2 linked regions of the Caenorhabditis elegans genome follow. The protein of the gene in region 2 interacts with the protein of the main gene of each other region in a pairwise test. Each region holds a gene or a part of one and is shown on either strand. Other genes may lie near its edges.

The links. Proteins that work in one complex are often made in the same cells at the same time.
Region 1: the proteins of rev-1 (region 2) and C18E3.3 interact in a two-hybrid assay, tested with the Caenorhabditis elegans proteins (2 studies listed by BioGRID).

What each region holds. Positions count from the first base shown.
Region 1 is NC_003279.8:4,201,885-4,209,062, forward strand, and holds C18E3.3 (ULP_PROTEASE domain-containing protein), read left to right. Parts: upstream 1-1,573; 5' UTR 1,574-1,575; coding exon 1,576-1,650; intron 1,651-1,718; coding exon 1,719-1,840; intron 1,841-1,887; coding exon 1,888-2,014; intron 2,015-2,072; coding exon 2,073-2,172; intron 2,173-2,226; coding exon 2,227-2,356; intron 2,357-2,843; coding exon 2,844-3,427; intron 3,428-3,928; coding exon 3,929-4,579; intron 4,580-5,070; coding exon 5,071-5,512; intron 5,513-5,563; coding exon 5,564-5,708; intron 5,709-6,145; coding exon 6,146-6,451; 3' UTR 6,452-6,678; downstream 6,679-7,178. Other genes in the region: snrp-40.2 (WD_REPEATS_REGION domain-containing protein), read left to right, coding at 1,226-1,287; Presenilin hop-1, read right to left, coding at 6,708-6,911.
Region 2 is NC_003280.10:7,898,734-7,905,167, reverse strand, and holds rev-1 (DNA repair protein REV1), read right to left. Parts: upstream 4,547-6,434; 5' UTR 4,522-4,546; coding exon 4,405-4,521; intron 4,284-4,404; coding exon 3,873-4,283; intron 3,829-3,872; coding exon 3,679-3,828; intron 3,349-3,678; coding exon 3,225-3,348; intron 3,173-3,224; coding exon 3,001-3,172; intron 2,956-3,000; coding exon 2,517-2,955; intron 2,473-2,516; coding exon 1,971-2,472; intron 1,924-1,970; coding exon 1,733-1,923; intron 1,687-1,732; coding exon 1,290-1,686; intron 1,241-1,289; coding exon 989-1,240; intron 936-988; coding exon 607-935; 3' UTR 501-606; downstream 1-500. Other genes in the region: best-23 (Bestrophin homolog), read left to right, coding at 1-35, 142-250, 300-403; ptc-1 (Protein patched homolog 1), read right to left, coding at 5,460-5,672, 5,723-5,834, 5,882-6,434.

The sequences.
Region 1 (7,178 bases), on a different chromosome or scaffold from region 2:
TGACCTTTGTGTAATATTTCTTCATGTGGTGCACCCTAATTTCCCCTTGAAGACCGAATCGAGATCGCTTCGAGATTGAAACAGGAGGATCCATTCATTATTTTTTTCATTGAAAGAACTTCGTTCAGTAGTAAGCTCTCAGACAATTCAAAAAAGTCATTCTGAACTTTTCAAGTTCGCATATGTGATTATATATTAAGCTACAAGCAAGCTGTATTCCTTTCTGCTTATTATATGAAATGTATATTTGAGAAAAGTAGTTCTAGTTACCTATATATATATATATATATATGTATACACACATATATATATATATATCTCGGTATCACTTGTTGTCAATAAGATTGTTTATTCCAACTACTAATTTGCTCCCATAGGAAAACAAAAAAAATTGGATTCTTTGTGAAGTATACAGCCTAACACCGCTACATCTATTCGGCCGTTGTCACTAATATGAAATTGGTAATGTAATAGACGTGGTGGTGCGTGAAAGTTTACCTCTTTCTTCTCCGCTCTTACTCGTTCTCTAGCCATGTCGCTAACTATGGATAACAAATGCTCTCGTTGGAAATATATCACCGTAGTTACTACTACTACTACTACACTCGATGAATTATATTATTACGGCGCGGTCTTCTCTATTTGCTAAAGATCGATGATGAAGCAGTTTTTTTTTGGAGGAATGCGTGCTCAGCTGCTACGTTTCTGTTGTTTCGATTTGTAATACGCAACAATTTGTTGTAATCGATAAAATTGCACTACTATATATCAATTGTGATAATTTAATTCCAAAAGCTTCAAAGTTGTATATCATCATACAAACTTTGTTGCCACTTTCTAGAAATCTCTTGATTCGACAACTTCCAAAGATTTTAACATTTATTTCCCAAATGTACATTTACGTATGTATTTACTAAGTTGTTGAAAAATACAACAATGCCTCTCTGATAAGACTCAAAAACGTGCAGAAACGTTGATAAGCAGTGTAATTCTCCAATGTTTCTCAAATACTTTTTTTCACCATCTGTATGTTTATACTTTTAATTTCCCCTCTTCATGAAAATTTATCCAGAAAAAATTAAAATTTATCAAAAATTTTGTGCAAGGCATGAACATGACATTTCAAAAAAAAAATCAAATATACATACATCATTAAAAATTATTTAAAATTTATTTTGACTCGGAAAGGAAGTCATTTGTAATCTCCAAACCAAACATTTTTCAGTTCTCTCTGCTGGAAGCGACAAGACCATTTTCCTCGGAGAACTCGACCTGGAGGATTATTAAACTTTTTAAAATTTCAAACAATCAGATTCTGACGTCTTCATTTTTATTTTACATCCTATTTTTATCACCTTTATTGTTGTTACTTGTTTCTGTTTCTTTCATTTCCTTTCATAATAAGAATCTATTCTTCTTACGCTCATCGTTCTACACCCACATATCGTCTAGAATCTTACATTTCCGATCTATGAGCACAATATTCAGATAATCTTTTTTTTTCTTTTATTCCCTTTTTTCATTTACTGAAAACTTTTTTCAGTACTCATCGCATTAACTTACAACATTTCAGACATGACCAGTAGTGAAGATAATAATCCGTCGACGTCAGAGTCCCCAAAATGGCCGATTGGGTCATTTTTCGACAGGGTTAGATAACTTTATTATTTTTGTTGAATTTTATGTATCTTTTCAAATTGAACATAGTTTTTATTCAGCTTCAAAATATGTCAGATAATGAGACATGGAATATAGTTTATGGTGTCGATTCAACTTCGGAAACAGAGACAAAAGGATTTTCCTGGCGAGTTAAGGAAGAAATCAAACTTATTGGATTAAAGTGAGCAAAGAAATGGAAAGATTTTAAATTCATTTTTATTATTTCAGAATTACAAATAGTACAAAGAATAAGACATTCATAGCCAAGGGAATGGTAGATTATATATCAGATTTTCTTCACAAAGCGACACGTAGTCTATGCCAATTTGATCATCGATTTTTCCCATCTGAATGGGTATCTTACTATCTATTTTGCAAGTAATTTTTCTTAAATGAAAGTTGAAATTTTCCAGATATTACCAGAAAACTGCTGTGCTCAGCATTATTATTCGAGAGAACAACCCGAGGGAAAGCATACAATGATTGTGGTCATTCGATTGTATCAAATTCAGAGTTCGTAGATTTTTTCTCGTGTAGAATTTATCTAATTTAACATTTAAACTTCAGTTTGTTTAAAGCGAACCAAGGAATCGAAAATTGGAAGTGGCCTACCAAGAAAACTAGAGGAAGATTCTAATATTTCTGAATTCCACAATGCTCATAGATTCTATCGAAGTTTTTTGGAAGCTGCTGTTGAGTGAGTTACCTATTTATTACGGGACCACCGAGTTCGGAGATTGCGTACTGTACAACATATTAGACGAGCAAAATATTTCGTAGCGAAAACTATAGTAATTCTTTAAATGACTACTGTAGCGATGGAAACGAATTTATGTTCGAACTGTGGCAGCGGTATCAAATTATTTTTTTTTTCATTTTTGTGTTTTCTTTTAATATTTTATCAATTAAAACCAGCGCTACAGTAGTAATTTAAAGAGCTACTGTAGTTTTCGCTTCGAGATATTTTGCGCATAAAATATGTTGCACAATACGAATTCTCAGCATTTACCGTAATAGCACATCTTCGTTTAGTAATGAGATGTATGTTTGATAATTTGTAGTTTATGCCAAAAGGAAGTGTCGTCAGAAAACTTTATTATCAATAATAGCAAGCGACTAGATAATTGGGTGTCAGAAACGGATGTTTACTCGCTACACCATGTCTATGAACTTTCAATATTCAGATATCTATACGGCTATAATATCATGTGGGAAATTGATGGCGGAGGACGATTGGAAGACGAAATTAATTGGTATAATCAACATAATCCTTCTCGCACAGTTGGTCCCAATGATATGAATGGAGAAAATGAAATCCCAGCAGATAAATCTTCTAGAATGGGTAAAAGATCTTCGAAAATTCCAAAAATCAAAAAGTCTAAAAAGTCAAAGCATCACAAGAAGAAGAAAAGAAAGAGTAGGAGTGAAGATACTTCTGGCAACAGTTCACCTACCGTAATCGCAACAGATGGCTCTTCTCCCGAGTCAGAGGATCTTTCTGTGTTTCAACTGCTTAAAAAGATCGGAACAACTGTCAACTTTCAACAGATTAAGCAAGCTATGGAGGTTGTACAACAAGGAAGAAAGAGACTCTCTGAGAATGATCCAATTTCTGAAGATGACTCAAAACGATTACGCACTCAAAAATCTGCTTTTTGCATTAGATCAACGATTCCTTGTGATCCAAGACTTGAATCTAAAACATATCTCGAAATGTTAGAAAACGAGAGGATTAAAGAAGCAGCTAGAAAACGGTCGAAAAGCGTCGGTGAGTAATTTTATTTGTTTTTCAGAATTCACCTATTAAAGGTGGAGTAGAGCCAATCGGGATTTGGTTTAAATATAATAATGATTCAAAATGACGGAATATCATAATAAAACATTCCAAAAATTTTTAGATGTTTCATAATTTCCGGTCAAAGTTTTATCAAATTGCCTAACTATAAATTTTGAAAAGTATGAGGCTTTAAGGAAATCCAAAGTAATTTCGCATGTTCCGACCTCTACAATGTTTTAATACGATTTATTAAAACAAAATTACAGTATAAAAAATGTAGGAAAACAATTTATTTAGTCGACTTCCAAAATTATTATTGGCAAAAACTGAGTAATTGTCACCTTTTGACATTAAATAAAAAAATTTCAAAATTTTTTAAAAGTTTTATTTTGATATATTCGGCCATTTTGGCACTATAAAAGTAGGTTTTAACAATTTTCCCACTGGCGCTACTCCACTTTTGACAATATCTTGTAAATGTATCAATTTCAGATGATATTGAGCATGTGGCAGATACTGTTACTGATTCGTCAATTGAACTTGAAATCGAACGAATTCAAACATTTGAAGAAGAGCCTCGTCCAATCTCAATTTTCAACAATCCACGATTGAACTCTGGAGATGAAGATTCTACTAGAAATTCACCTTCCAGTGTTATTTCTCCACCAACTTCCGTTTTTACAATGTCCCCAATTCATGAAGCACACTCTCAGGTTACATACGACAGTATTGCTCCACTGGAAAGTCCTGCTATCGACTCTGATGACGATTTTGACTTTTTCCCATCTTTGGTCGAGACAAGCTCGCGACCAGCGTCTTCCGAATTGAAAGACACGGAAGAGTGCTTGGACAATTCTCAGAGCATGGAAAAATATGGATATATTGATTCTGAAAATAATTATCTTGAAATGGAACAAGAAGATACATCGAATTCAGAAGAAGATCAGCTCGAAATTGCTGATTCACCATCTTCTACAATCTCATCTGCACATGGAAGTTATGATACAGATCTTATCGATATAGAGGACAGCTCAGCTCATGAAACGATCCTACCAGATCAGGAAAAAGAAGAAGATGCTGAAATAATTTCAACCACTCAAAACTTTAGTCAAGTCCTTCATGTTGCTGAGACTACAACACCAGGTAAATTTATAGCTTCCATAATCCATAATGAGTGGCTAAAACTCAGTGCATTAAGATATATCAGCTAGTTTCAGAATTCTGCTAATTTTTTTATTTTAATTATTCCCTTTCTCAAATTGTACTAAACATCGATAATAATTAATAAGTATTCTTAATTAATATTTACGGTGAGCTTTGTTGTTAAATTTTGAAATTGATTCACTTGGGGGTGGACGGCAAATTACCGGTTTTCCGATTTGCCGGAAGTTTTGGTTTTCGGCAAATTGCCGGTTTTCCGATTTGCCGGAAGTTTTGGTTTTCGGCAAATTGCCGGTTTTCCGATTCGCCGAAAGTTTAAATATTCGGCAAATTGTCGGTTTTTCGATTTGACGGAAATTTTAATATGGGCAGATTGCCGATTTTCCGGAAAAAAATCGTTTGCCGCCCATCCCTGGTTCAACTGTTGAATTTGAATTTTATTTAAAAATTGATGTAATGTTTGTTTTGTTCAGATCACGTTGAAGAAGTTTCTTTGAAGGCTACAAACAATGTACCGGAACGAGCTCCATTCACTATGTACTCTACAAAGAATCAGTTAGAACATCTCTCAACTCCCGAATACCCAACTGCAAGACGGATTTCTCTTCAATTCAAGCCACTGAAGATTTCGAATCAAAAACCTGATATTTTCAAACAGTATCACTTGCCAACAATGAAAGAACTTGAGCATCTTCCGAAGCAGTTGCGGTATATGAGTAGATCAAATAAAACTGATAACAGATATTGGTTTGATGTCGGTACTGTGAAGAATGACTTTAAACGGAAACTTTTCGGAGACTATTACCGCGATTGGATGCGTTCCGGCCATTTTATGAGACATAAAGTGAATAGTGTATGTTCACAATTGGATGCAAATTGTCCTTACTTCATTCTAAAGGAAGAAACAAGAGATAGGTATAATAGCTTTGGTTTTGGAATTTTGAATTTTCTAAGATCTATTTTCAGCCCAGCACTGATGCTCCAAATTGAAGAACTTCGCGATAAGCCTATTCCACTGGAACTACTGAGCAAAATGGTTTGCATCAGAATGAATGCCAGATTTTTTATCGATTATTTCGACCAAGTTTCTTGTTTAACTCCAGCCTGCTGGGTAAGTTGAATTTTTGTTTTTTTTTAACTTGAAAAATATTACGGGAACACGAAATTCTGAGAATACGTATTGTGCAACACATCTGACGCGCAAATTATCTTGTAGCGGGAACTACAGTAATTCTTTAAATTACTACTGTAGCACTGGTCCCACTTTTGAGTTGTTTTTGTCACGATTTATTGACGATTTCTAAAGTATCGTCGAAATGACAACAACCAACGAAAAAATAAATATCGAAAATAAATTCGTTTCTAAAGTCCAGTTAGTAAATCGTTCCCGTAAATTGCCACCAGCGCTACAGTAGTCATTTAAAGAATTGCTGCGGTTTTCGCTACGATATACTTTGCGCGTCAGATCTATTGCACAATACGCATTCTCAGAATTAAGTGTTTCCGTAATATCTTGGAAATTAAAAATTAAATATGATTTTTTTTCAGGCCAACATAGATTTAAATAAACTTGGCGACTTCACAAGTTCTGATGACGAAGTTGCAGACATTGGAAAAAGCTTTCTTGCAACATTATCCGATCTTCCAGATATGCCAACTGAAGTGGTTATGACTATTAAGAAGAACTCCCACATTTTATACAAAAAAATTATGAGTGACTTAGTGAGAACCATGTTCATTTTGAAATTGGATAGTGATGGCAAACCACATTTCTTCTATGATGGTGCATTTGACATAAAGCCGAAGGTTAGACGATCTCCACCATCTCCATCAAATAGTGAGATCTCATTGTAATTTCTATATAATTTATTCATAACTTTATGCATTTTCTTCTGTTTTTTGTTGCAATTTCTTTCCCTTCCACCGGTTCGCTTCCCTGTTTCTATGATCCTCCCTTACCCTTGAATAATCTCCTTTCAATGTTTTTCTTGTTTTTGTTTTACTTGTGTTTTGATTTTTGAGCTCAAAGTTTTCAAATGTAAATATTTATATACTACATCATCTTTAGAACAACCCGGTCACAAAACAAATAGCACAATATTATGAAAATTTAAATTAAAATTAGCTGTGAGGTGCACAGATCGGTGAATGGGGTTAATGCGATATGGGAGGAGAAGTAGAATATTGCTGCAATTGCCAACGGGAACGGCAATGCTGGAAGTGCAGTTTGAGATAATGTGACAATTGGCAGAGTAATTGTCAAACCAACAAGATTGGATACGAAGCACGCGACGACAGTTGGAAGTGGGCACGTCTGAAATGCTTAGAATTTGAATTGCCAGAAATTTTCAATTTGGGTAATTTGCCGGAAATTATCATTTTCGGCGAATTGCGGGTTTGCCGAAAAATTTCAATTCCGGCAAAGTGTCGATTTGCTGATTTGGTGGAATTTTCATTTTTAGCAAATTGCCGATTTGCCGGAAAATTTCAATTCCGGCAAAGTGCCGATTTGCCGGAAATGTTTTAAAAAAGTTTAATGGATTTTCTGTAAAATTCAAAAATTATCTTTAATTGGGTAAAT
Region 2 (6,434 bases):
CTGTTTATGTTGAAAGTTTGGATGATGAAATTCGTGTAAGTCTGAAAATCTAAAATTTTGGAACAATCTAAAAATATGATCTACCAAAACCATGGAGTTTTAAATTTGTAGTTTTCAATCTATAGCATAACTTTATTACAGTTACTTCATACAAGTGCATCGTCAAAACTATCAAATCATCCACAACGACAGCATCTTCGGAAATTAAAATTCAATGTAGACGCAATGCAAGTGCAAGCAGTTCCGGGAAGTGGGAATTTCATAAAAAAATATGAAAGTTACTATTTTTTAAATTTCAGATCATCTAAACGAACGAGACGTTTCCGTTTCAACAACTTCAAAACTTTCATTCGCTGATCTGGAAAATTTGGCAAATGGTCCTAGAAATATTCCAAAGTTTTGAGAATGGATTTCAAACTGATTACAAGCTCTTTCCTGTATTGATCTCGACGTCTTCTTACTGGTTTAATATTCACGTCTTCACTCATTCATTCCTTCTCTTTTTGAATTATAAAAGTTTATTCAATGGTCTTAAATATGTTATTTATTCATTTTAATTTAATTATTTTACAGAAAAAGAAAAACAATATTTTACAAGATTTAAATTCAGGTATGTTTAGTGGAATCAATTACAAATACTTCTTTTGGAACAAATGGCTCTGGTGAACTAATTGATGTGTTATCAGTGTTGCTGGCAATCATAGCTCCCAAATTTCGAGTGGTAGCTATGGGAAATTCAAGCAGATCTTTTGATTCTTCTTCGATGAATGGTACCATCAAATGGAATACTGAAAACCAAGCAGTGTCGCATCTACTAGAATCCATCGAAATCTCTTCAAACTTTCTGAATACAGTCTCGAATGCGGAAAGTTTTCCATAGTTTAGCAACGTTGAAAGCATTTCCTGTAAGTTCGTAACACTCTCCTTGGTTGGCTCTGAAAAAATTGATAAAGTTATTCCATGAAACATCAGATTTTGGGTATCTCACCATTTTGAATAATACATTCCAATTCGGCCAGACGATTTTCAACTAATCCATCATCTTCCAAATCTTCCAATTCGAGGTTGTTGTCAGATCGTCCATTGAGAAGTGTGGATTTTACAATTTCAGGAATATCTATGTCATTTGCCACTCTAAAATTAATTTGACGAGGTATGCTTTGCACTTCCAGATCTTCAGTCACAGCTGGAATTATCACAGGTTCTTTATCTAGTTCATCTTCGTTTCGCGGAATAATATCTGAAAATACAGAATGTTTTCAATAAAATTTCACTACTTAAATACTAACTCAATTGTTCGTCAGTTCTCGCCATATTCCCAACTCTAGAGGTCTTCCCAAACATCTCTTGCACTGCCGTTGCCGCATCTTTTTTCAATTTACTTTTCAACTTTCCACAGGTAACTCCAACTCCACGAAGATCTTCTACTTTCGGAGAAACTTTAGCATATAATTTCATAGCTTCTGATGTGAGAGACTCTCCGCGTGTAGTTGGAACGTTTAGATTACACGTTTTGGTAAATGTATCACAAATTCCATGTCCCATGAATTTGGATGTTTGTATAGGAGCATTTGCTGAACGTACCATAAGCTTCAAAGTTATGGATCCTGCGGTTAATTTACTATCGATAAGTTTCCGTTCTAACTCAGCTCCAATAGCTGTCATGAGTTGAATAACTTCACCTCTCTGAAATATTCCATCGTTATACGGACATTTTAATATAATACATTACCTTCGTGAAACGAATACCATAATTGATATCACATGATACTGATTTTCGAACATGAGTAGCCCAAAAATCATCTGGATCTTCTTCAATACCACGACATTGTCGTAATATTTTTGAAGCCAACTTTGGTCCGAATACAGGTACAAGTTCCCGTTCAGTTTTTAATTGTAGTTCACGGCATTTTGTAATATCACCTGTAAAACTGAGAAGTTGATATTTTTATATTAGATACTGGAATTACCAAAGAATGAAGTTAATCTATTCATCATTTCGTATCCAAATCCTGGTAGATCTTTAACTTTTTCCTCGGAAATGAATTCATTTTTCTTATGTGCATTAACCCAAAAAACTCCATCTGGTTTAGCATGTCTTGTTGCAAGTCTTGCTAACAAGCTCGTAGATCCTATTCCAACACTGGCTGGGCATTGAGTCTTCTCTCGTATCACTTTACGGATGTGTTCAGCGAGAATTGTTGGGTCGTTGATTTCGTATTTTTCACAAAAACTGCTCATGTTTATATACATTTCATCGCAGGAGACTGCACGAACCTCCAATGTGTAGCTAGCCAGAATTTCATAAATTTTCCGACTAACTTGCACATAATCCTCAAATTGATATGGTAATAGAGTTAATTGTGGACACTTTTGTAGAGCATCTCTCACGAGCATACCATTTTTGACTCCACAATCACGAGCTGCATAACTGCAAGAAGCCACCTCGCTCATGCTATTCGAAATAGTTCCCTGAAAGATTTATAGTTTGACACGAAGCTTTTAAATTGATTTACCTTGCTATGAGTGATGGCAACTTCTTTGTGTTTCAAATCAATTCGATTTCTGACAGCAACTGAGACGAAGAAACAGTCTAGATCCACGTGGAATACTGTACTTTCCCGAGAAATTTCATTGCTAAGAGACTTCATATCGATGAGTTCTTTCTCTTCAAAACACTTTTCCGTTAGCTTTCCTTCCAGTTTCAAATTTGCCACAAAATCTTTCATATCCTGCGCGAGAGTAGAAATCAAATGAAGACGACTTCTGGCATAGTAATCTCGAATAAAGTTTGGATTCCGGGCATCAGAGAACTGATTCGATGAAGTTGTTTCATTGTTACCACCGGTGTTTCTAGTTGATATTGTTAGAAACTGTTGCATTTGTCCCTTTTCCACCGAACCTTTCTCGTATATCAAAAAATCTCGATAATCGAGTGGTTTTCCAGCAGCTATTCTGAAATACTGGTTTAATCGGAAGAATCGGGTTGATTATATTTACGATTCCGTAATCCAATCAGCTTTAATGAAAATTTCATTTTCTCGAATTCGATTTATTTTTGCTGTAGCAATTGAGGAAGCTATCGTGTATGAAGTAATTCCATGTTGATAATAACAGTGATATTCACCTCCGTGAGAAATCATCAAATCTCTGATAACAAGTGCTGGTGGATCTGAAATAAGTAACTGTAAAATCAGTCGTTAAGTTATGGAATATGAAATTACCTGTATAACCATTCACAAATACCGAGAATCCTTCCATTATTCTAGACACATTCTCTAGTGGTTTCGCATATCCATGATTCACCTGATGGTTAAGTTTAGTGATCTTCATCCGCATATAGTCATTCTGAAAAAAATGATTATTTCCTGTGGGTTATTATCAGTTAAGTGCTAAACTGTCCAAATGTCATAGTAAAACTTTTCAAAAAAGTTGTTTCTTTACAGTCAAGCGTGTTTTGAAAACTGAGAGGCCATACTGGAAGTCGGACAGAAAATTGTCTTTACGAGTTTATAATTTAATTTGGGTTTCGATAGTTTTTATTTAAATATTCTAGGATTTCGAATATACAGCGATGCTCGAAAAAAGTCCACATTTGGAATGAAACTTTTAATTTTACGTGAAAACGAAAAACTTTATTTATAGTAAATGATTTGGTGTTTTGGGCAAAAAACTCACAAAATTATTTATTTCGAAATTTTGTCCATGTATGGTGATGGTTTTCTGTTGATTCCAGTACTCGCCACTATCTGATGAAACAACACCAACTGGGCCATGTGCAGCGGATGTTGAAGGTTCACAATCATATGATTTTGGTTCTAGACGACGCTGTAATCTAGAATATTAACGATTGTTTTAATATTTCTACATACCTTTCTTGGTATAAGTTTGATATTATTTTGAATAGGAACTTCAACCGGTAGCATTGTTCCTTGCTTATCCATGCTATTTCCACCTTCTCTATCCGGATATTCAGCAGCTTCATGTTCTGAGTCAACTTCTTCAATTAAATCACCAAATATGTCTATACTGATATTTGCTGCCTGTTCAATGTCTACTTCTTTTCTTTTCTGATCTTCCGTTCTGAACGATTTTAAAAGATCAGCAAGTGCATCATTATCAGAATTATTTTCAGTTTCATCCTCTTCGTCACTGGATTCTAGCATTCGAGTTATTGTATCATCAGGATTTGCGCGTTTATTTTCATCTTCTAGTACAGTAGTATTCGGACAATTTTCGATCACTGTTACTTGGGAATATCCTGTTATTCCGTCGAATGAACCCTTAAAGAAAGCAGAAGTATTTTGAAAATAGCTATTTAATATTTTTGAAAACTAAATTTAACGATTTCATTGAAATTATTCGACATTCCATCGAACTTTTCGATATATTTGCAGCTAATACCTCATCTGAAACAATTATAGCATCACTTCGTCGTCGATTCACATTAGGAGTCGGAACAAACTTTTCAAAAGAATCATCTGAATCTGGATGATCGGTGAATGGGTCAGGAGAATGCATCATTCATTGTATTGATTTCTGGAATCAATATTTGTTTTCTGATTAATTGCGTCTTTAACCGTAATTCTGTCGACAAGTATAATTTCTCACAGTTCATACTAAAATTTTCTGAAAATAAGAATCGATAAAATGTATGTTTCATGTTAGAAAAAGTTTATTCATCCGAAAAAATTCGAAACAAAAAAATTGGAGATGAGGCGAAGGGACAATAGAAATCGAGAGGGGCAGAGAAAAATCTTGGCTGGTGCTAATAAAATAATTAAATTCCCAAAGCTCGCTGAGATCATTCACAGAGGGGAACAAAACAAACGGCGAAAAAGACCAAGTGGGTGCAATTGAAAGCAATACAAAAAGGTGAACAATACAGATATGTCAATTGTACTTTTTTCTCTAAATTGTACCGTTCCCCTTTTATCACTCGGAGTAAATATTATGCGCATGTTTTTTTCGATTGAGAAGTGGCAATAAATACCCAAAGAAAAAAGAAAACGAGGGTGCCAAAATATTCATCGATATGGATGCAAGAAAATAAAGAAAAATAATACTATAACAGATTAAAGCATTTGTCGTTTGGAAACCGCGCAAAATCTATTCTTTCAGTTTTGAATTTGTTAATTGGGTGCTAGAAATGGTGAAGTGTGTGAAAGTGTCAATTTTATAGTGATCATGTTAATTGCCTATATCTTGGAAATCTCAGTGAAAAAATCAACATAATAACTATAAAAGTGTTATACAGGGCATGGGAAGATCACCAGAAAGTGTGTAGTCGACCGTTAGAAAGAGAGAAAAGACAAAAATAATTTAAAAGAAAATATGACAACGAAACATTGGGAAAAAGGATAAGTTCACAATGCTCTGCATTCATCAGAAAGAAATTTACCCATTTTTACATTTTTGTAAGTTTTTAAGCTCCAAAAACTTGGAGCGAACTACTACTGCTATACAGCTGGCAATCGGCGTGTGTTATTTCCAACTGTTCCTCGATTTCCTCCTGATGTCCTCGTCGTTGGGGGTGCTTGTCTTGAGTACATCACAAGACCACTCGGCTCGTCATCTTCATCAGAATCATCGCCGCCAGATCGAGACGAGTTGGCATTCTTTGGCAAAGGAGGTGGCAGGGTCAATGTTGTCTTTCCACCAGTAGGAGAGATCTAAAAAAAATAAGATGTATACAAGAAAAATAACAAAATTTAGATTTTACCTCTCTCCTTGGGCCAAACCAAGATAATAAAACTGGAAGAAGAATGAGTCCGTTTATGATTCCAATGCAAATCAGAGCCGTCATGACAATAAAGAAATACTTGACAACAAATCTGAAAATAAAACATTCTGATGACATCCATACTTCTGTAAAACTCACTCAAACTCTGAGAATCCAAGCATCAAAATACCGAGAAGTGTGGAGAATGATCCATGAATGACTGGGACAAAAACTCGATCAACTGCAGATGACGTCCGTTGAGATCTTGTTCCGAGCGCCGTCAGGAATGATACAACCACATGAACAGTGAATTCGACTCCAATTCCAACTGCGGTGATCAAAGTTACGGCTGAAACCGGATTGAGCTTGATTCCAACGAGTCCCATGAATCCGGCAAGTTCGCAAGTCATGATTCCGAGAATACAAACAACCATAAGTGCAGCCCATGGATTGAAAAGAAGAACGGAAATGACGCAGAAGACAGAGATGGTAATGATCGAAATGGCTTGCATAAGATTTCCAGTCAAGAAAAGATATTGTTCCCAGAATGTGAATGCGATTCCTTGTGGGAAATTTGGAAGTCCTTGATCGGTAAATCGTTCACAAACACTTCTGATGTCCTTTATGGCATCGACAATCACAGCGGTATCCGTGAGGCCAGTTAAGTAGAATGGAATCTGCGAATATGCAAGTGGCTCAGCAGCTGGGATGA